4 linked regions of the Arabidopsis thaliana genome follow. The protein of the gene in region 4 purifies or fractionates together with the protein of the main gene of each other region. This does not show direct contact. Each region holds a gene or a part of one and is shown on either strand. Other genes may lie near its edges.

The links.
Region 1: the proteins of DAYSLEEPER (region 4) and AT3G05060 fractionate together in Arabidopsis thaliana (co-fractionation; one large-scale study listed by BioGRID). This does not show direct contact.
Region 2: the proteins of DAYSLEEPER (region 4) and AT5G27140 fractionate together in Arabidopsis thaliana (co-fractionation; one large-scale study listed by BioGRID). This does not show direct contact.
Region 3: the proteins of DAYSLEEPER (region 4) and AT5G27120 fractionate together in Arabidopsis thaliana (co-fractionation; one large-scale study listed by BioGRID). This does not show direct contact.

What each region holds. Positions count from the first base shown.
Region 1 is NC_003074.8:1,412,362-1,417,974, reverse strand, and holds AT3G05060 (NOP56-like pre RNA processing ribonucleoprotein), read left to right. Parts: upstream 1-1,918; 5' UTR 1,919-2,091; intron 2,092-2,386; 5' UTR 2,387-2,410; coding exon 2,411-2,491; intron 2,492-2,579; coding exon 2,580-2,621; intron 2,622-2,714; coding exon 2,715-2,894; intron 2,895-2,974; coding exon 2,975-3,139; intron 3,140-3,345; coding exon 3,346-3,546; intron 3,547-3,639; coding exon 3,640-4,137; intron 4,138-4,243; coding exon 4,244-4,378; intron 4,379-4,501; coding exon 4,502-4,801; 3' UTR 4,802-5,108; downstream 5,109-5,613. Other genes in the region: AT3G05070 (Cwf18 pre-mRNA splicing factor), read right to left, coding at 442-500, 707-821, 938-1,070, 1,368-1,495. UniProt on the Arabidopsis thaliana protein: Required for 60S ribosomal subunit biogenesis.
Region 2 is NC_003076.8:9,546,623-9,550,916, forward strand, and holds AT5G27140 (NOP56-like pre RNA processing ribonucleoprotein), read left to right. Parts: upstream 1-1,919; coding exon 1,920-1,997; intron 1,998-2,098; coding exon 2,099-2,143; intron 2,144-2,196; coding exon 2,197-2,289; intron 2,290-2,368; coding exon 2,369-2,533; intron 2,534-2,613; coding exon 2,614-2,814; intron 2,815-2,910; coding exon 2,911-3,408; intron 3,409-3,479; coding exon 3,480-3,752; downstream 3,753-4,294. Other genes in the region: AGL39 (AGAMOUS-like 39), read left to right, coding at 11-931. UniProt on the Arabidopsis thaliana protein: Required for 60S ribosomal subunit biogenesis.
Region 3 is NC_003076.8:9,539,024-9,544,571, forward strand, and holds AT5G27120 (NOP56-like pre RNA processing ribonucleoprotein), read left to right. Parts: upstream 1-1,837; 5' UTR 1,838-1,956; intron 1,957-2,251; 5' UTR 2,252-2,263; coding exon 2,264-2,341; intron 2,342-2,441; coding exon 2,442-2,483; intron 2,484-2,572; coding exon 2,573-2,752; intron 2,753-2,828; coding exon 2,829-2,993; intron 2,994-3,187; coding exon 3,188-3,388; intron 3,389-3,475; coding exon 3,476-3,973; intron 3,974-4,073; coding exon 4,074-4,208; intron 4,209-4,358; coding exon 4,359-4,661; 3' UTR 4,662-5,042; downstream 5,043-5,548. Other genes in the region: AT5G27110 (Tetratricopeptide repeat (TPR)-like superfamily protein), read right to left, coding at 1-1,624. UniProt on the Arabidopsis thaliana protein: Required for 60S ribosomal subunit biogenesis.
Region 4 is NC_003074.8:14,319,134-14,324,589, forward strand, and holds DAYSLEEPER (BED zinc finger and hAT dimerization domain-containing protein DAYSLEEPER), read left to right. Parts: upstream 1-1,809; 5' UTR 1,810-2,035; intron 2,036-2,701; 5' UTR 2,702-2,704; coding exon 2,705-4,795; 3' UTR 4,796-4,936; downstream 4,937-5,456. Other genes in the region: AT3G42180 (Exostosin family protein), read right to left, coding at 5,167-5,456.

The sequences.
Region 1 (5,613 bases), about 13 Mb from region 4:
ACAAATATTGTATCTAAACTCCATCATCCCACTGTGGAAGCAACATGCCGAGAAGAAAGGTCTTAGAAGCTCTCTGTGTTGTTTTCCCAGACTCCAAACTAAACCCGTCTAGCCCGAATCAAAACTTTGGTTTCTAGTTTGGGATGTCTTTATCAAACCACAGTAAATCGAATCAAACCAAAAAACGCAGTTCCATTAATGATCAAACTAGATTACCACCGATGTTGAACCAAATTTAGAGAAAAACCGGACCGCACTTAATTCTACTCGGAAATAAATTGCGACTTTCTTTGATTCACACAAGAAGATAAACCTACTATGTCTATGCCAATGGCTGTAGGATTTTACATGGTCTACTCACTTCGAATGCTTTAACAGTTAAACAAAATCGAGTAGAATATACTGTTCAGTGGTGGCTTTCTTTGATGACGTCGTTGGGTTTCAACTTTCTATGGTGTTACCATCAGCTTCAGCCATCTCACGTTCTTTCTCTTGCTCCTCTGCAATTAGATGATGAAAGTGCATGTGTTAGTTCCATAATAAACAAACACCAACAGATCACTCTATTTTGGACTTCTATGATTTGGTATCATACTACCAACAGATTCAGTGAAATGTTACTCACTTACTCACGAACCACAGACTAATGTCTTAATTATCAAGCTTACATAGAAGATATCAGTATGTAGATACAGTTGCCACTTACCCATGAGTTTATGCATTGCCTTTTGAGTCCGCCTTTCGAGCTTATCAAGCTTCTTCTGCACATCTCTTCGGAGGTCCCAGTTTGGCTTCTTTGGAGCGATGTTAACAAATGGGTCCTACAATGATAACATTTTTTGTAAGCTTAAGAGGCACAAGTAAAGGAAACAACAATGCTAAACAGAGTCGCTTTTGGTGATCCTTGTACAGAGAAAAGAAAAACTGTCACACACACCTCTTTCTTCTCTACAGCAGGTGGAAGTGCAACGATCGGATCTTCGAATTTGGGTAGCTCTGGTGGCGCTAGTTTACCATCCTGAAGCTCCTTAGCTTGGGGAACATAGTTTCTAAACTTCATGGCTGGACCACTGTAAAATCAAAGACAATTCATATGAATAAAAAGGGAATCTACCTCGAATAATCAATCAACAAAACCAACCACCTAAGCAAAGTATACACAACAATGCAACTTGAAATTGGAAAAAATTGTTAGGTAACAGATGCTGCAAGAGCACCATTATTGATTCTCTCACAAACAGTGATAGTAAAGGCGAGAAGCAAAGCACAAGAGAAGCTCCTAGTTATGCTAAAGCCAACACACAACATTAACAACTCCATGTGCTAGTCAAGACAAACAAAATAAGCAAAGAACAAAGCAAACTCACTCTTCTTCGACAGCTTCATCCTCTCCGTCTTCCTTGGTCTCAGACAGTTCCTGAGCTGCCCTTAGAGCTTTAAGTGCCTCTTTACGAGCAGCAGCTTTTTGTTCAATCGATTCATCTTCACTAGCCATTATAACTTCCTGCAAAATTAGGTTATCGACGTAAACATCGAACACTAGCCCAGCTTCTTCAAACACTAATCACACAACTACAGAGTATAACCCTAAACAACACGCAAAATCGTGATTTTCAGGATCCACGGAACTAATCAGATGAAGTTTTAGCAAAATCAGAGCTATACTATGAAATAAAGTTGAAGAGAAGTATGGAAAACGCTATCTACCCAGAAAATCAACGAGAAAATTTGAAACCGTACCTTGAAGCTTCGAGCTCTATAAATTCGAGACAAATTTGTTGAATACCACAGAGAAACAAAGGGATTAAAAAAGAAAAACTATTAAGGGGGAAGAGAACAATAAAACGCCCACGTATTAATATTATAAACGGGCCAGATTAAAATATCCATTCAGTCAGGCCCATTAATCTTAAAACCTAAACCCTAACTATGGAAGTTATAGAAATACCCCTTACAATACGCGGCGTTTTAAGAAGGCTCGGCTCGTCTTTAACTGCTATAACAACACACTCTTAAAACCCTAAGTGATTGTCCGTCTCCGTCTTCATCTTCTTCCTCTCTCTCACGCAGCTGCTTTGATTAACTCTTCAGGTATTTAATATCTCTCATCTTCTCTCTTCACGGTGTTTCACTTTTCCATTCTTGCTGGAGATTGTGGAGTTTCGAATACTCATACTCGGACAGAGTTTTAAGGCTATTGTAGTTTATCTCTCTGTTTTTTCTTCTCCTGTATTTCTTATGTGATCTAAAAGTAGGATTAGGGTTTATATGGAATGCTGTTTCTCGCTAGTTTTTAATCTCAAAACGAACTTTTAGTTTAATTAGTGTGACTCGGACACGTATCTTTACTGTTCTGAGTTAAGTGTTGTCTTAATTTTCTCTTCAGGTCCAGCTTAAGAGTTTTGTGAAGATGGTCTTAGTGCTATACGAGACAGCGGCGGGGTTTGCCCTCTTTAAAGTTAAAGATGAAGGAAAGATGGCTAACGTCGAGGTGAGTTCTCTTCATTCTTTTGTACTCTCTTTGCTTATCCTTAAGGCTCTAAAAGTATTCATGGATTATTTTTTATTTTTTTTTGCAGGATTTGTGTAAAGAGTTCGACACTCCAGACTCAGCACGAAAGGTAATTTTTTTGCTTCTTCATCAAGTGTGGTTTCAGAACATCTAAAATTAGATTTAGTGTTGAGTTTCTCATATGTTTTTATTGGTGTACCAGATGGTTAAGCTAAAAGCTTTTGAGAAGTTTGACAATACATCTGAAGCTCTCGAAGCTGTGGCTAAATTGCTGGAGGGAGCTCCAAGCAAAGGTCTGCGCAAGTTTTTGAAAGCTAATTGTCAAGGTGAAACCTTGGCTGTGGCTGATTCAAAGCTTGGGAATGTTATCAAGGAGAAACTGGTTTGTAATTCCCATCATTACACCCATATTCCTGTCTGCTCTGTGTTTTGTTTCTAATGAAAGTTCTTAATTTCATACAGAAAATTGATTGCATTCACAACAATGCTGTTATGGAGCTTCTACGTGGTGTTAGAAGTCAGTTTACTGAACTCATATCTGGGTTGGGTGATCAAGACTTGGCTCCTATGAGCTTGGGTCTGTCTCACAGTCTCGCCAGATATAAGCTAAAGTTTAGTTCTGACAAGGTATCTTCGGTTCCTGACTAATTGTATTGGTCTTTTTATTTGGTGATATGATATGTGAAGTATATGAATTTGTTAATTGATCGAAGCTAACTTGTGTTAAATTATGGAACTTCTGTATTGAACTAGCCTTTGATTGTCCGACATTAAACGTTTCCTGTGTTTGTTTTTGCTTCTCTTGCATCTCCTAACTGTTTAGTTTTTGTCAGGTGGATACCATGATTATCCAAGCTATTGGTCTGCTTGATGATCTTGACAAAGAGCTGAACACATACGCCATGAGGGTTAGAGAATGGTATGGATGGCATTTTCCCGAGCTTGCTAAGATCATATCAGACAATATCCTATATGCCAAATCTGTTAAATTGATGGGAAACCGAGTTAATGCTGCTAAGCTAGACTTCTCCGAGGTAACTTTCAATTTTGTAAACTGTGTAGAGGCTTCCATGAACAAACGCCTTGATTAACGACCTAATATTCTCCTGTTTCTGGTTTCATTGTAGATCTTAGCAGATGAAATTGAGGCAGATCTTAAGGACGCAGCTGTGATATCCATGGGAACAGAAGTCAGTGACTTAGACTTGTTGCACATCCGTGAACTCTGTGACCAGGTTCTCTCTCTTTCTGAGTACAGAGCTCAGCTTTACGATTACCTAAAGAGCAGAATGAACACTATTGCTCCCAATCTGACTGCCCTGGTAGGAGAGCTTGTTGGTGCTCGTCTTATTTCCCATGGAGGTAGTTTATTGAACCTCTCCAAGCAACCTGGGAGCACGGTTCAGATACTCGGAGCCGAAAAAGCTCTCTTTAGAGCTCTTAAGACAAAACACGCCACACCCAAGTACGGTTTGATTTTTCACGCATCTCTGGTTGGTCAAGCAGCACCAAAGCACAAGGGAAAGATCTCGCGGTCTTTAGCTGCTAAAACTGTTCTTGCTATTAGGGTTGATGCTCTTGGTGATAGCCAAGATAACACTATGGGCCTTGAAAACCGAGCTAAGGTAACAAAATTCTTCAATAGCTTTCCTCTTGTTGGTATCTCTCTGAACAATCTTTTTTCCTCCTTCTTAACTGATGATGTTTCTGATATGTGTTAAAAACTCACAGCTTGAAGCGCGGTTGAGAAATCTTGAAGGAAAAGATTTAGGTCGTCTGTCTGGTTCATCTAAAGGCAAACCTAAGATTGAAGTCTATAACAAGGATAAAAAGATGGGATCAGGCGGTCTTATCACTCCTGCTAAGGTCACGATCATTCTCTCTGTTTTTGATTCATCATCTTTTCTTCTAATTTTGGATGTGTGTACATATTGTCTTTGTTCTTGGGATTATGATGAAGTGATCTTGACTGTTTTTTGTTATGTGCAGACTTACAACACTGCTGCAGATTCTCTTCTTGGGGAAACCTCAGCTAAATCTGAGGAGCCATCAAAGAAGAAAGATAAGAAAAAGAAGAAGAAGGTAGAAGAAGAGAAACCCGAAGAGGAAGAGCCATCAGAGAAAAAGAAGAAGAAGAAAGCTGAAGCAGAAACTGAAGCCGTAGTAGAGGTTGCAAAGGAGGAGAAGAAGAAGAATAAGAAGAAGAGAAAGCATGAGGAAGAAGAAACAACGGAGACACCAGCCAAGAAGAAGGATAAGAAAGAGAAGAAAAAGAAGAGTAAGGACTGAGGGAGAGAAACCGATTTTGAGAAATCTCTTGAGTGTAAGATTAATAACTGTTTTTGTTGAATTGCATTTTATCTAGAGGAATAGGTGTTTTAAGATGAAACTTAAATTTTCTGAAATCGTCATTTTGAATGATGGATTCATATTTAAATCCTTTTCACCCGAACTTTATTTTTGTTCTAGCCTTCCAGACTCTAGATTATTAATTTTGGAACTCTTTTTTCAATTTATAGTTTGTAGTTGTACAATATTCTTCTTGCATGATTTATATATATCTGGAAGAGGAAAGAATTGAAGAAAAATAATATATTCTGAAAAAATCAAATAGTTTTTTGCTACTAAACGTGTCTGTAGATTCACCAAATAAAATACTCTTTGATTTTGTTTTGATTTTAAAGATTTTTTACAGGCGTTAGTATCTTTTTCATGATCGTATTTCTCTTTGTTGACTATGCATGTTTATCTTTGGTTATTGTCTGGCAAGATTTTAATCAAATTAATGAGGTCAATAAAATTAGTATATCGTCTACAAGAATACATAGTAGTTAGCAATAATGCTGGGAATGAATGAATAAATAGATAATATATGTAGCTTTAAGTCATAAAAGAAATAAAATGGCTAATTCTAAAGGACAGACGTAAATCATTAGTTCCTTAAGCTTTTGTTCCTTGTTTGGTTTACAATAGAGTCTTGATAAAGGAGCTTCTTTGATTGGATAGATGAAGTAAACTCTCATTACATACCATATTTCTTATTTTATTTGTTTTTCCAATTCCTATTTTAATATTAAAAAAAACTCTTAGTGTTTATTTTA
Region 2 (4,294 bases), on a different chromosome or scaffold from region 4:
AAGAAACATTATGCCTTCATCTGATTCCACGATGATGAAGAAAGGAACAAAGCGCAAAATCGAAATAAAGAAACGAGAAACCAAAGAGCAACGAGCCGTGACTTGCTCTAAACGCCGTCAAACTGTTTTTTCCAAAGCCGCCGATCTCTGTCTTATCTCCGGTGCTAACATCGCCGTCTTCGTAACCTCTCCCTCCGATAGTTCCGATGTTGTCTATTCCTTCTCCGGTTACTCCTCTGCCTACGAAATCGCTGATTGTTACCTAAATCGCAAGCCTCCACCCAAGATTGTTAACCCGGCCGGATCCAAACTAGGATTTTGGTGGGAAGACCCTGATCTCTACCATTCGTGTGATGATCTCTCTGAGTTAAGCATTATCGAGGATCGTTTACAGAGAATGAAGAAGCATGTGATGGCTTGCCTTGAGAAGGAAGAAAAATCTCAACTTGTTTCTAGTTTCGACCAAAACCCTAATAGTACTTGTTCTCTCGACGTCGAGGATTGTGATGGATCTTCTTATTCGCAAATTGCTTCTACTTTTACTCCAAACTCTGTCAACGAGTATTGCAGCGATCAAACCTTTTCTTCTTTCCATGGCGATCAAAACCCTAACCTCTCGTCTCCGTCTTTTGATCAGGACTGTTACTCCTCTCTCTATCAGATCTGTGGAGAATCATCTTCACAAGTTGCTTCTTTTGATCAAAACCCTAGCTCCGAGATCCAAGGATTTGAAACAGAGGAAGAGATTAACCAAATCAATCTACTACTACAAGAAACACAAACAGAGGCCAATGTCAATTTGGATGATGAGATCTGCTTTTGGAATGATCTATCCAACGATGATGTGTTTGGTCTAAACAGCTACTTCGGTCTCGATAACACCAATGCAATGATCAACTTCGGAGATTCCGACTTTAGACGTCATGTCTGATATGATGTGGTTGTAATCTTCAGAACTTGTTCTGATTTTGTCTCATTGTAAACAGAGATTCTTGATCCAATTTAAGTTTTTGTAAACCTTTTTTCCTTTATTGTTTGATACTCTGATGTGAACCCTTTCGAAGTTGAAAGTAAATTGTTTGAATCAGTTTTGCAATTCCACTTACTAGTTTGTTGATGTTAAATTCAAGTTAGTGATTTGAATTTGGATTCTCAGAAAAGAAGAACACAGTTTTTGGAGCTTTTGCTTGTAATTTTACATGAGTTTTAGCCTTTAGCTGAACACTTTTTGATTCCTTAATGGTCATCTTGTTAGGTGATGTGTTTGAACTTTGAACAGAGTACTTGAGATTAATTTAAGATTATGTATGTAACGTAGATTAGATGAACATATTTATACCAACATTTTATTAAAAAAGTAACTATAATCATTTTTCGAATTAGTAATTAATTTTATAGTTTCTTTAAGGTAATCATATATTTTACAATTTGTATATTAAAATTAGCAGATCAAACTCTGTTTTTGATAGAGAATAAATAAACTTTGTTTTTGATAATCTTTTCCCTTAGAAGTAAGGTCGGTTATTTTGACATCTTTAAAAATTAATTGTATAATTCTTTTTAGAAATATACCATTTTAAGAAAATAAGAATAGTTTTTTTTTTAAAGGTTTTTTTTTAGTTTTTTGTGAAAATTATATTTTCACATGTTTTTTTTCCGTAACTTTTTAATAGAAAATCATATATTTATTTTCTTATATATATAGATCGTCGATTAAGAATCTCGAACCCTTATAGCAAATTCGTTGCTCCTCTTTTTTTCTTTCTCTAACGCAGCAGCTTTGCTTAAATCCTCTTAGGTATTTATTGAATCTTTCTCCGTTGTCAGTGGAACGTGGCTTCCAAGTATTAGTTTTTGACTAAGTATAGTTCTGACTTTGAGATGTTGAGTTGATTAAAGGGTTTCTCGTAATCTTAAAGATGCTCGTACTGTTTGAGACGTCAGGTGGTTTTGCACTCTTTAAAGTATTAGATGAAGGAAAGCTCTCTAATGTTGAGGTTATTTACCTTATTCATTCTCTTACTTTCATTGATCTTAACCTTGTCTATATGTGTCGTTTGTTTTTAATATTCTAAGTATGTCAAATTTGTTCTTGTAGGATTTGGGTACTGAGTTCTACTCTGCAGAGTCAGCTCGAAGGATGGTTAAGCTAAAAGCTTTTCATAAGTTTGACAACACATCTGAACTCCAAGCAAGGGTCTACACAAGTTTTTGAAAAATAACTGTGATGATGGTGAAATCTTAGCTGTGGCTGATCCAAAGCTTGGAGATATCATCACAGAGAAACTGGTGTGTATTTTGTTATGATCTTTTACATATTTCTGTATATATATGGCTTGTGTCTTACGGATTTGCTTCTCTCCTCTAGGACATAGAATGTGTTCACAACGATGCTGTTATGGAGCTGTTACGAGGTGTGAGAAGTCAGTTAACCGAACTTTTATCCGGATTGGATGATAATGATTTAGCTCCAGTGAGCTTGGAATTGTCTCACATCCTTGCTAGATATAAACTAAAAATCACCTCTGACAAGGTAGTCATTGAGTTCTCTGTGTTTTGTTTTACCCTTGCTTATGTTACTTTTCCCCTCTCATACTTAAAATGTTTTGTTAGGTGGAGACCATGATAATCCTATCTATCAGTCTGCTTGATGATCTTGACAAAGAGCTTAACACTTACACTACGAGCGTTTGTGAATTGTACGGTTTGCATTTTCCCGAGCTTGCTAATATTGTACAGGACAATATCTTATATGCCAAGGTGGTTAAACTAATGGGGAATCGGATTAATGCTGCAACGCTAGACTTCTCTGAGGTAAAGCCTTATTTACCATTCTCCTTGACTTTTTGTTTCCATTAAACTATAGTTTTGTCTTTATGAAACATCTTTCTGTGTCCAATGTCATCTCAGATATTGGCTGATGAAGTTGAAGCAGAACTAAAAGAGGCTTCTATGGTGTCTACGAGAACTGAAGTCAGTGACCTTGATTTGATGCACATCCAAGAACTCTGTGACCAAGTTCTTTCAATCGCTGAGGACAAAACTCTGCTTTGTGACGACTTGAAGAACAAAATGAACAAAATTGCACCAAATCTAACTGCCCTTGTCGGGGAGCTAGTCGGTGCTCGCTTAATATCTCATTGTGGTAGTTTATGGAACCTCTCAAAGCTACCATGGAGCACAATTCAGATTCTTGGAGCTGAAAAGACCCTATATAAAGCCCTTAAGACCAAACAAGCCACTCCAAAGTATGGTTTAATCTACCACGCACCTTTGGTTAGGCAAGCTGCACCAGAGAACAAGGGTAAAATCGCACGTTCACTAGCTGCAAAATCTGCTCTTGCTATCCGGTGTGATGCTTTTGGTAATGGCCAAGACAACACTATGGGAGTCGAAAGCCGCTTAAAGGTATTCTTCTCTCCCGCCCGATCCTATCTACATTTTTCTTCCTTCTTTGATGGTCTAATTTTTTTCGACAGCTTGAAGCGCGCTTGAGAAATCTTGAAGGAGGAGATTTAGGAGCATGCGAAGAAGAAGAAGAAGTTAATGACAAAGATACAAAGAAGGAGGCTGATGATGAGGAAGAACCCAAAACTGAGGAGTGTTCGAAGAAGAGGAAGAAAGAAGCAGAACTTGAAACCGTGGAAGATCCCGCAAAGAAGAGCAAACAAGAGGGTGTAACAGGATTATTACTCCTGATGCTTTTAATTTCTCTAATCTATTTCTTTTCTGTTAACCAGTTGCTATGGTAAGCCATTAGCTCAGATATACAAAATTATGCGTGAGTAACACGTCTAGTTTCTTGACGTTTTGTTAGGATCATGTTGATACTCTTTCAAAGTCATTCAATTCAAAAACGGTTTCCCTTGTCATTTGGTTCGGTAGACTTGACAAAAAAAATAATCAGTTAAAGATGTGGTTAAGACCAACAAATATGTTCACAAGAACGTAAACATCAAGGTTCTGTCGCTTTAGACTTGATTTACAAGTGGATTTAAACATGATTAATTCACAAGCTAAACATCCATAAGAGTTGGATAAAAAAAAAATCCAATTCCATAAATAAATGAAAGAGAAAAGTGGATCAAAAACAAAATCAAATTTGTAAAAAGGTTATGTGGCTTTGAATTCCATAACCTTTGAATCACTCAATCGAACCTATTGAAATTGCGATGCTACTAAGAGCCGGACCATAACACATGAACATGAAACATTACAGTGGCCCCCATTCTAAAGGGGCCTCAAAGAAATTTTATTTTAGTTATATATACATATATTGATTTTTGATAATGGG
Region 3 (5,548 bases), on a different chromosome or scaffold from region 4:
CGTACTTTGATCTCATTTGACTGAAAAATTTGAGACCCTCATCAATTAGCCCAGCATGACCACAAGCTGACAATACAGCAAGAAGAGTAACCCCATCAGGTTTTAGACCAAACTTCTGCATTTCATCAAACTGGTAAAGTGCTTCTCTGGGTTGACCATGAGATCCATACGCAGAGATCATTACCGTCCATGATACAACATCCTTCTTTGGTATACTGTTGAAAATCCTAAAAGCCTCTTTTTCATTGCCGCATTTAGAATACATGTCAAGAAGCGCACTCAAAAGCAACTCGTCTGTTTCGAGCCTGCTCTCACTAATGGACAAATGAATCTGTTTGCCTTTCTCTAACGCAGCCAGTTGCGAACAAGCAGGTAAAACACTTGTGAAAGTTACCACGTCTGGCTTCACTCCAACACTCACCATTTGGTCATACACTTCAACAGCCTTAAACCAATTACCTACACTGATATAACTAGAAATCATGACATTCCATGACTCAGCAACGTCCTTCTGTGTCTTTGAAAAGACGGTTTCAGCCAAATTTGCTTCACCACACTTGAAGTATAGATCAATCAAGGAACAGTTCACATAGATATCTGCATTTACAACGCTTCTAATCACATAACCGTGTATAAATTTTCCATGTAGGAGATTCCGTGAGCGAGAGCAAGCCATCAAAATGCTGGTCAAGGTTGTCTGACTCGGTCGAGTTCCTTCTATGATCATTCTATTCAAAATCTCAACACATGACTTACTGTCTCCTTTAGCGACATAACCTTTGATCATAGAATTCCAAGCAACCAAACTCTTTCTAGGCATTTTCTGAAAAACCTCCCTAGCCACCTCCAAGCAGTCACATTTCCCATACATATCAACAAGGGCAGAGTTTACATACTCATCTAACTCAAACCCTTTCTTCACACATTTTCTATGTATCTCCTTCCCTCTCTCCAACCACAACAGCCTTGAACACGCCGATATAGCCACCGTCAACGAAACTGAATTTGGTTCAAAGCCAGAACTTTCCATTCTTCCAAACAACTCCAAAGCCTTCTCTGCCTCTCCACTTTGATAAAAACACGAAATAACCGTGTTCCAAGATGCTACATCTCTCTCAGGCATTTCATCGAACACTTGTAGTGAATTCTCAAACAAGTTAAACTTTGCATACATACCAACCAAAGAACTCGCCACAACCACATCACAAACATACCCACTCTTCACCACAAGAGTATGAATCATCCTACCAAGAAACTCTCTACCCAACGCACCATAAGCCTTAATCACATTCGGAAAAGTAAACGAATCAGGGACACAAATTGAGCAATTCAACAACCTCTTGAAAACCTCAAGAGTGTCATGAAACATTGAGTTCTTTGAATAACCAGACATTAAAGAGTTCCATATGTAAACATCCGATCGTATATCGAAGTTCTCGAAGACGTGTCTCGCTGAGCAATGGTCTTTACAAGTAAAGTAGACATTGATGAGACTTTTGCATAAAACTACGTCTCTTCGTAACCCCAACGTGAGTATTCTCTGATGCACAAGCTTGATTCTTCTTAGAGACTTGGTGCTATTGGTACACTCTCGCAATAAAGACAACAACTTTGAAGATTCCATTTCAAGTTCACATTTTTTTTTGTCGTGAGAGATTGAAATGTGATCAGTCGCTGCTTTAGCTAAATTATAAAGGAAAGACATGATTCAAACTACGACGTCGTTTATACTAATGGGCCAAACTTAATTAGGCCCAAAATGATTTATTTTTCTAAATTAGCGATGCGTTTTAAAACCCTAGGTTACAAAAACGCGCCGTTAGCAATAAAAACGCAGCGTTTTGAGAATCTCTGAACCTTCTTCAACAACTATAAAAACCATCTTAAACCCTAGCAGAATCGCGGCTCCTGATTTTAGCTCTCTCTAAAGCTGTAGTTGTGCGTTAACCCTCTAAGGTACTGAATCTCTCTCGCCCTCTCTTTCTTCGTTGTTATGGCAAATAAGCTTCCAAAATTCTAAGACTTTGACAAAGTATAGTTCTGTTCTTTGTCGGATTTTCAAGAATTTGAACAGAGTATCTGCCTTAACTATTATTCTGATTTGTAAACTTCGAAACAGGGAAAAAGTTTTACCTTGAATATTGTTTCGTACTAGCTTAATGGCTTTAGCTCGTAAAACACTAACTTGCAAGTTTGGTGACTTTGAGTTGATTCAAGGGTTTCTCTTAATCTTGTTTTTTCTTCTTTTCAGGAGCTTGTAAAAATGCTAATACTGTTTGAGACGCCAGGTGGTTTTGCCATCTTCAAAGTATTAAACGAAGGAAAGCTCTCTAATGTTGAGGTTACTAACTAAATCATTCTCCTTTGTTCATTTATCTTAACCTTGTTTCTGTGTGTGGTTTGGTTTTTTAATTCTAAGTATGTCAAATTTGTGATTGTAGGATTTGGGTAATGAGTTCTCGACCGCAAAGTTAGCCCGAAAGGTGATTTATTTTGTTCTAGACATAGTTCAAATTTTGTATCTGGCTAATAATATTTGTTTCTCATAGCAATTTTTGGTGTGTTGTTACAGATGGTGAAGCTAGTAGCTTTTGACAAGTTTGACAACACAGCTGAAGCTCTTGAAGCAGTGGCTAAATTGCTTGAGGGAACTCCAAGCAAGGGTCTACGCAAGTTTTTGAAAGCTAACTGTGTTGGTGAAACATTAGCTGTTGCTGATTCTAAGCTTGGAAATATCATCAAGGAGAAACTGGTGTGTATTTTGTTCCGATACGCTCTTTTATTTCTGAGTAAGGGTTGTTTCTTACGGTTTTGCTTCACTCGTGTAGAAAATAGTCTGTGTTCACAACAATGCTGTTATGGAGCTGTTAAGAGGTATCAGAAGCCAGCTAACTGAACTTATATCTGGATTGGGTGATCAAGATCTAGGTCCAATGAGCTTGGGGTTGTCTCACAGCCTTGCCAGATATAAACTAAAGTTCAGTTCCGACAAGGTAGTCATTTGATTTGTATTGGTTTTTGGTTCTCTGAATTATTTGTTGAGTTAGCCAACTTTTGATAAATTATGGAACTTTTGGTATCCCTTTTTTTACTCTTCCAACATTAGGTCTGAATTGCAATTGAGTTTGTCTATATATCCTGTGTTTGTTTGACCCTTATGTTACTTCACCTTGTACTTGTATGTTAGGTGGATACCATGATAATCCAAGCTATTGGTCTGCTTGATGATCTTGACAAAGAGCTTAACACTTACGCTATGAGGGTTCGTGAATGGTTTGGTTGGCATTTTCCTGAGCTTGCTAAGATCGTACAGGACAATATCTTATATGCCAAGGCTGTTAAACTAATGGGGAATCGGATTAATGCTGCAAAGCTAGACTTCTCTGAGGTAAAGGCCTGTTTGAGTATTTGACTTCCTTGTGCTTAACACTAGTTTTTTTTTTTTTGAAACATTGTTTCTGTGTCCTCCTCTCAGATATTGGCTGATGAAATTGAAGCAGAACTGAAAGAGGCTGCTGTGATATCTATGGGAACTGAAGTCAGTGACCTTGATTTATTGCACATCCGAGAACTCTGTGACCAGGTTCTTTCTCTTGCCGAGTACAGAGCTCAGCTTTATGACTACTTGAAGAGCAGAATGAACACAATTGCACCAAATCTAACTGCCCTTGTCGGGGAGCTAGTCGGTGCTCGCTTAATATCTCACGGTGGTAGTTTGTTGAACCTCGCAAAGCAACCTGGAAGCACGGTTCAGATTCTTGGAGCTGAAAAAGCCTTATTTAGAGCCCTTAAGACCAAACACGCTACTCCAAAGTATGGTTTAATTTTCCATGCATCTGTTGTTGGCCAAGCTGCACCGAAGAACAAGGGTAAAATTTCACGGTCACTAGCTGCAAAATCTGTTCTTGCTATCCGTTGTGATGCTCTTGGTGACTCCCAAGACAACACTATGGGAGTTGAAAACCGTTTAAAGGTATCCTTCAATTTTTTTTTTTCCGATCTTCCTCTCGATCTGATCTAAAAATACTCTACCTTGATTGATGTTTACCATGCGGGCTATTTTCTTCTGACAGCTTGAAGCACGGTTGAGAACTCTCGAAGGAAAAGATTTAGGACGTCTATCTGGCTCAGCTAAAGGCAAACCAAAGATTGAAGTATATGACAAAGATAAAAAGAAAGGATCCGGAGGTCTGATCACTCCTGCTAAGGTCAGATTATTCCTCTGCTAGTTTGTTTCTTCAACTTTCTTTTGTAATTATGAATTCTGGATTTGTGCAATTGTGTTTTGGATATATTACCTGTAATGTTGCTTAAAGGATTAAGCTGTTTGTTGTTGTTGTTGTTGTTGTATTCTGCAGACATACAACACTGCTGCAGACTCTCTTCTTCAAACTCCCACAGTGGATTCAGAGAACGGTGTGAAAGAGAAGAAAGACAAAAAGAAGAAGAAGAAGGCTGATGATGAGGAAGAAGCCAAAACTGAGGAGCCCTCAAAGAAGAAATCGAATAAGAAGAAGACAGAAGCAGAACCTGAAACCGCCGAAGAGCCTGCAAAGAAGGAGAAGAAGAAGAAGAGAAAACACGAGGAAGAGGAAACTGAAATGCCTGCTAAGAAGAAGGAAAAGAGTGAGAAGAAGAAGAAGAAGAAAACTGAGGTCTGAAGAGACCTTTAATATTTTTGCGTGGTCTAGTTTACTTTGTTATCAGAAACAAAGAAAATCTTTTGTGGCGTTAGGTGTTAAGTAAGGTTTTTGTTTTGTTTGAAACTTAAAAAAAAGAACTACTCTTCGTTTTGTAAGGTTATAATATGTTTGGTTTAGTCCTTATCCCAGAAACTTGCATTTTGCCAAACGAGTCAAGACCTTACCGTTAAATCCTTCTAATCTTAGTATAACGTAATTACTCATAGTTGATTAGTTCATAAATTTGTAAAGATCAGTCCGAAGAGTCGACATTTTTCATCAAGTGTATCATTGACATTTTAAAAAACCTTGTACAAAATGAATATTTGTGAGTCTAAAAAGTACCTTAATAGTCAATTGGAAATGGATTGGGTTGAGCATAAGGCAAATCATACCAGACCTTAGAAATTTCAAAAGATAAATAAAATCTAGAGTCTACCTACTTTGTGTGTGTATATATTTTTATTGTGCTATAAATTTTGTGATGAATATGAATCAAAATTCTTTCTGAATATTTCGTGATAATGGTTCCGTCAATATCAAAATTTACTACTGAACATATATGTTTTAAAATATTTAACTGGATTTTAATTCATAAAGTTTTTTTTATTTTTAATTAAATTTAGTTGCCGTGGAAAAAGTTTAATCTATAGTGTTTTATGTAATCATTGTAGGTAATGTTCAAAAAATCTGCCTAGACACCTATCGAACTGGATTTTAATTTATAAAGTCTTTTTATTTGTAAGTAAACTAGTAGGCAGCCCGTGCCTTGCACGCAAAACAACAATACCAATAATATATTTCGTGTCTTTGAAATTTGCAACAATTACACAAATGACGAATATCACAACCTCACAAAATACAAT
Region 4 (5,456 bases):
TTATTTATAAGTTTAAATTTAATATTTGTTAGTTCACTTTTTTATTTTAAATTTTAAGGAAGTAATTACTATTTTTAAAAATGTTAGTTAATTAGATGCTAAATATGTTAATTATTAATGTGGCAGCTCCTGACTGGTCGTTTAAAATCCGACGTGGACGGCTTTAGAAGCAAATAGTTTTATCACCACCTTCATCATCCCACCTTCCGCGTGGCAAGTTTGGAACACTGATCATCAAGTGATCAAAAGATGGATTAGCTCCATTCTTGAATCAGGAGGTAACCAATCTGTTTAACGGAAGTAATCTCATTTTGATATTCAAGTGCAGCCCAACTCAACAAGGTTGTGGTAAATGACATTAGTCAAACAAATTTTACGTTGTCACCAGCATCATAATATCCTCTAATCAAATTCACCTAGGAAATCAAAAACACCCATAAATTTGTTCAGTCTATAAGAGATAACATATTGCCAAAACTTATGAAATAAGGTTCCATTTCGGAAAACATATATATACATATATAGAGAGATGTTTAAAAGTATAGTTGGTTTACATTAGCTGATGCACTATGAGAAAGGCCAGAATCAGCTCGCCATTTAACCCTTTGGTTAGTCGGGACTTTACCGGATATTTATAGATACCCTATGCAAGTAAAGTTGCGTACGTAATTTTAGGGTAATTTTGCATGCACTTTAATTAATATTTCTAATTGTCAGCATTTTCTTATCTAATATATTTTCATCAATTCTAATTACTTACAAAAAGGAGAAATCTTAGGACATTGTTAATATTATATTTTATTAAAAGATAAATATTTTAGTTATTGAAAGTTTATTAAACGGTTAGAATATTTAACGGAAAAACTTTTAGAATATTTATAATATGTGAAATCTTTATAAACTAAATAATCATTTGAAAGAAAACTTTGATTTGAATTATAAATCTTTGAATAAAAGTATTATTAAAAAAAAATAAAAAACAATAATGTTTAATTTTACCGAACATGATTAGATGGTAGAACGGGTTTATAATGTTATAATATATGAACTTTACAACAATTAAATAACTATTTGAAAGAAAACTTTTAAATTGATTTGAATTATATATCTTTTAAATCAACGTATTATTAAACAAAATAACAAAATAATGTTTAATTTCACTGAACAGAGTTAGATGGTAGGACGGGTTTAGTCGATAGTAATACGAGACGATATATTACGGGTAAAGTACATTAAATATATTTAATTTCACTGAACATGATTAGATAGTATGACAGTTTTGGGTCGATAATAATACGAGACGGTATACTACGGGTGAAATCCTAGATATAACAGTCAAAATACAATTATATTATCTTAAACACTAAGCAAAACAAATAATATTAATAAAACAAATATAATTTAAATTTAAATTATATAGTTATAATTTAGATCTTAACTTAATGAACTATATGTTAGTGTTTCTATATTTTTAATCAGTAAAAATCAAACATAGTAATTGTATACTAAATATTTATAGATATAAGAGTTGTCCATTTGGAAAATATATAAAAAGATTTAATCTATTAAATAAATTATTTCTTTTTAATTTTTTAAAAAATATTATAGCTTCGCGCTGTACGTATGTTATAATATTGTAGATCTAGAAAACAAATCACTTAGCCACGTGTAAAAATAAAGCGCGTGATCTTAATCAAGCAAAGGGTTTTGTTTACAAACTCCTGGGCCGTCTTTAAAAGCCCAATAACCGGCCCAAACATTCTCAGTAGTATTTCGACCTAACCCCTTATTTAGACGCATCCTTATTCGATTAAAGATAATAACATAAACTTATCTCTTTGCCTTGTCTGCTTTTCATCCAAAGGTCCAATTAGCCTCTGAAGCCCAAATCTCTCTCTCTCTTTCTCTCTTTCTCGCTTTCTCAATCTACTCGCCGGAGATCGGCTCGATTCCTCCGTCACCACCGCATCTAACCGGCGATTTTCATTCCGTCTTCTCTACTTCACAACGCAGAGCTTCAATTTCTCCCTCGCAGGTATTTTTCACGAAACCCTAAACTCTGGATCTAATTTCGCCTGGATCTAATTGGGGATTTTAGAGTTTTGCCTCGATTGTTTGTTAAATTGTTAGCTTTTGGTCTACTCTGCGAAAATACGTTTGGTTCATTTACTTTATGCAATTACCATACTGGATCTGCTAATTCTGAAATAATTCAACTCATAGGACAATTTTACTGGGTTGATAAAGTTCTTAAGGTCGTTTAGGAGCCAAGTTCAAATGTTTTGGTTTAACTCATGGAGGCAAATTAATTTTGAAAAAAAAACTTGAAATTGTTGTTTGTGTTTGTGTGTGTGTGTGATTTAAAGAAAAAAGCCCGATCTTATAAACTTCTGTGTTTTGTTTGAATCAGTTTCGTTATGTTGAAGACTTTATAATCTGGGCTCTAGTTTTTGATTTGCAGCCCATGTTTGATCGACTCTTAGGACCTTTTAAAACTTCAGATCTGTTTTTTTTCTCTCTCTCTTTTTAAGTTGTTGGATCTACGCGATGTTGTCAAATACCGATTTTGCCCTTATACCAATCTTATTATTTACCGTTGGTCATGGCCTTTTGGAATAGGCCCAATGTTTAATCATTGTTATTATTATAGTGGGCTTTGTTTGGGTAACAGTTATTTTCCTTTTTATGTTATGTTGCAAAGAAGATGGAAGTGTACAATGACGATACTGAAATGAGGTCACCAGAGACACAACCAATCAAGGAAACAGCTTTGGAAGTGTACAATGATACTGCTGAAATAAGGTCACCAGAGACACAACCAATAGAGGAAACAGCTTTGGAAGTGTACAATGACACTGAAATGGTTTCACCAGAGACCCAACCGATCAAGCGACGCAAGAAGAAGTCGATGGTGTGGGAACATTTCACAATCGAGGCGGTAGAACCGAACTGCAGAAGAGCTTTTTGCAAAGGATGTAATCAGAGTTTTGCTTACAGCAACGGTAACAAAGTGGCTGGTACTAGCCATCTTAAGCGTCACATTTTTAAGGGGACATGTCCTGCACTTATCCATACGCATGACAATGACAACAACCCACTGATGTCTACTCCTTACACTCCCAAGACTGACACTCCGAGAAGGCGTTACCGGTCTCAGAACAACGCTAGTCCCTATGTTGCGTTTAATCAGGACAAGTGTCGTCAAGAGATAGCTAAGATGATCATTATGCATGACTACCCTCTTCACATGGTTCAGCATCCAGGTTTTGTCTCGTTCGTGCAGAGTATTCAGCCTCACTTTGATGCTGTGAGCTTTAACAATGTTCAAGGAGACTGTGTGGCGACTTACCTTGCTGAAAAGCAGAATGTCATGAAGTCTTTAGAAGGGATTCCTGGACGCTTCTGTCTAACGCTCGACTTTTGGACCTCCAAGCTAACTCTTGGGTATGTGTTTATAACTGCTCACTACATTGACAGCGATTGGAAGATACAAAAGAAGCTTCTCAATGTTTTGATGGAATCGTATCCAGAAGCTGACGAAGCCTTGAGTCTCGCGGTTGCAAATTGTGTTTCTGAATGGGGTCTGGAGGGAAAGTTGTTTAACGTCACCTTTAACCACCCGGCGAGTAACTCTGCGGTTGAAAACATCAGACCTCAACTCTGCATCAAGAACCCTGGGATTCTGGATGGTCAGTTGGTAATAGGGAATTGTGTTGCCCGAACATTTGGTAGCCTCGCTAAAGATGTCCTGGAGAAAGGGAAAGATGTGATCAAGAACATCCGGGACAGTGTGAAGCATGTGAAAACGTCAGAGTCCCATGAGGAGAGGTTTACTGAGCTCAAGGAACAGCTTCAAGTTCCAAGCGAGAAGGTGCTTTCTCTTGATGATCAGACGCAATGGAACACAACATATATGATGCTTGTGGCTGCTTCAGAATTAAAGGAAGTGTTCTCGTGCTTAGACACTGCTGATCCTGACTACAAGAAACCTCCTTCAGCAGAGGATTGGAGGCATGTGGAGGCACTTTGCACATTCCTGAAGCCTCTTTTCGAAGCAGTCTCCACTCTTCAATCTACTGGAAACCCATCTGCTGTTACCTTCTTCCATGAAGTGTGGAAGACACAGTCAGATTTGTCTCGGGCGATAGCTGGAGAGGATCCTTTTGTCACAGGTATTGCTAAAACCATGCAAGAGAAGGTAGACAAGTACTGGAGAGACTGTAGCTTGGTTTTGGCAATGGCCGTGGTGATGGATCCTCGGTTCAAGATGAAGCTTGTCGAGTTCAGTTTCTCCAAGATATTTGGAGAAGATGCTGGGAAGAACATCAAGACTGTGGATGATGGGATCCACGAGCTCTTCACCGAATACATGGCGCTCCCGTCGCCCCAAAACACGACATCTGAAGGTGGGAAAGCAGATGGACTGTCGGATTTTGACACGTACATAATGGAGACAACGGGGCAGAATCTGAAATCAGAGCTGGACCAGTACCTTGATGAAACCCTGCTTCCCAGGGTTCAGGAGTTTGATGTTCTTGACTGGTGGAAACAGAACAAGCTCAAGTACCCGACCTTGTCAAAGATGGCTAGAGACATCCTTTCAATCCCGGTTTCAGCTGCAGCCTTTGACTATGTCTTTGACATGGAACCGAGGGAAATGGATGAGTACAAGACGTCACTGAGGCCCGAGACAGTGGAGGCTCTGATTTGCGCAAGGGAATGGCTTCTTGAGAGTAATGCTTCTTCTTCCGCAGCTGCGCAAAATGCAAGTGCTACCATCAAATCTGAAGCATAGGTGAGACTTTGCTTCATTATCTCTAAATGTTGTTGTTTTCTAGAAGTTTATGTATGTTGTCTTTTGTGGTTAGTCTTAAACCCACCGTGTGATTTGCTATTAGGAGCTTCCCTCTTTAAGATATCTACTGCACATTTTAAAATGCTCCTTCTTAGATGAACTCTATAGCACATCTTCAACTGAACTAAAAGCCTCGTTGAATCCTATCTTTCAATTCCAAAACTGAAAGTCTTTATTCTAACAATTTTTACAACGTATATGAGTAATTAAAGCTCTAGACAACTGTTTTGGTACATGGAGATTTTTTAAAACAACTCTTGAAAGAAATATAAGAACAAAAGGTATTGTAATGCAATGACTATAGTATACTATCAAGAAGGCAACCTAATGTTAAGCCTCCTTAACCAAACCGAGTGAAGAATCATGTGGATCACATCAAATGGTTGAGCCGGACGGTTCACCACAAAATGCCTTCTAACTTTCATAACATTTCGATACATCCTTAAATATTTGTCATGTGGAATCTCTTGCAAAATCTTCTTAATATCAGGAATTTTGTCGACCGGGATCTCAACCGAGAACTTGCTCCAATCAAGCACGTCGTTGAACGGAAGCGAGTAGTTGTCCGATATGACAACCGGGACGCAGCCTGAGTAGATGG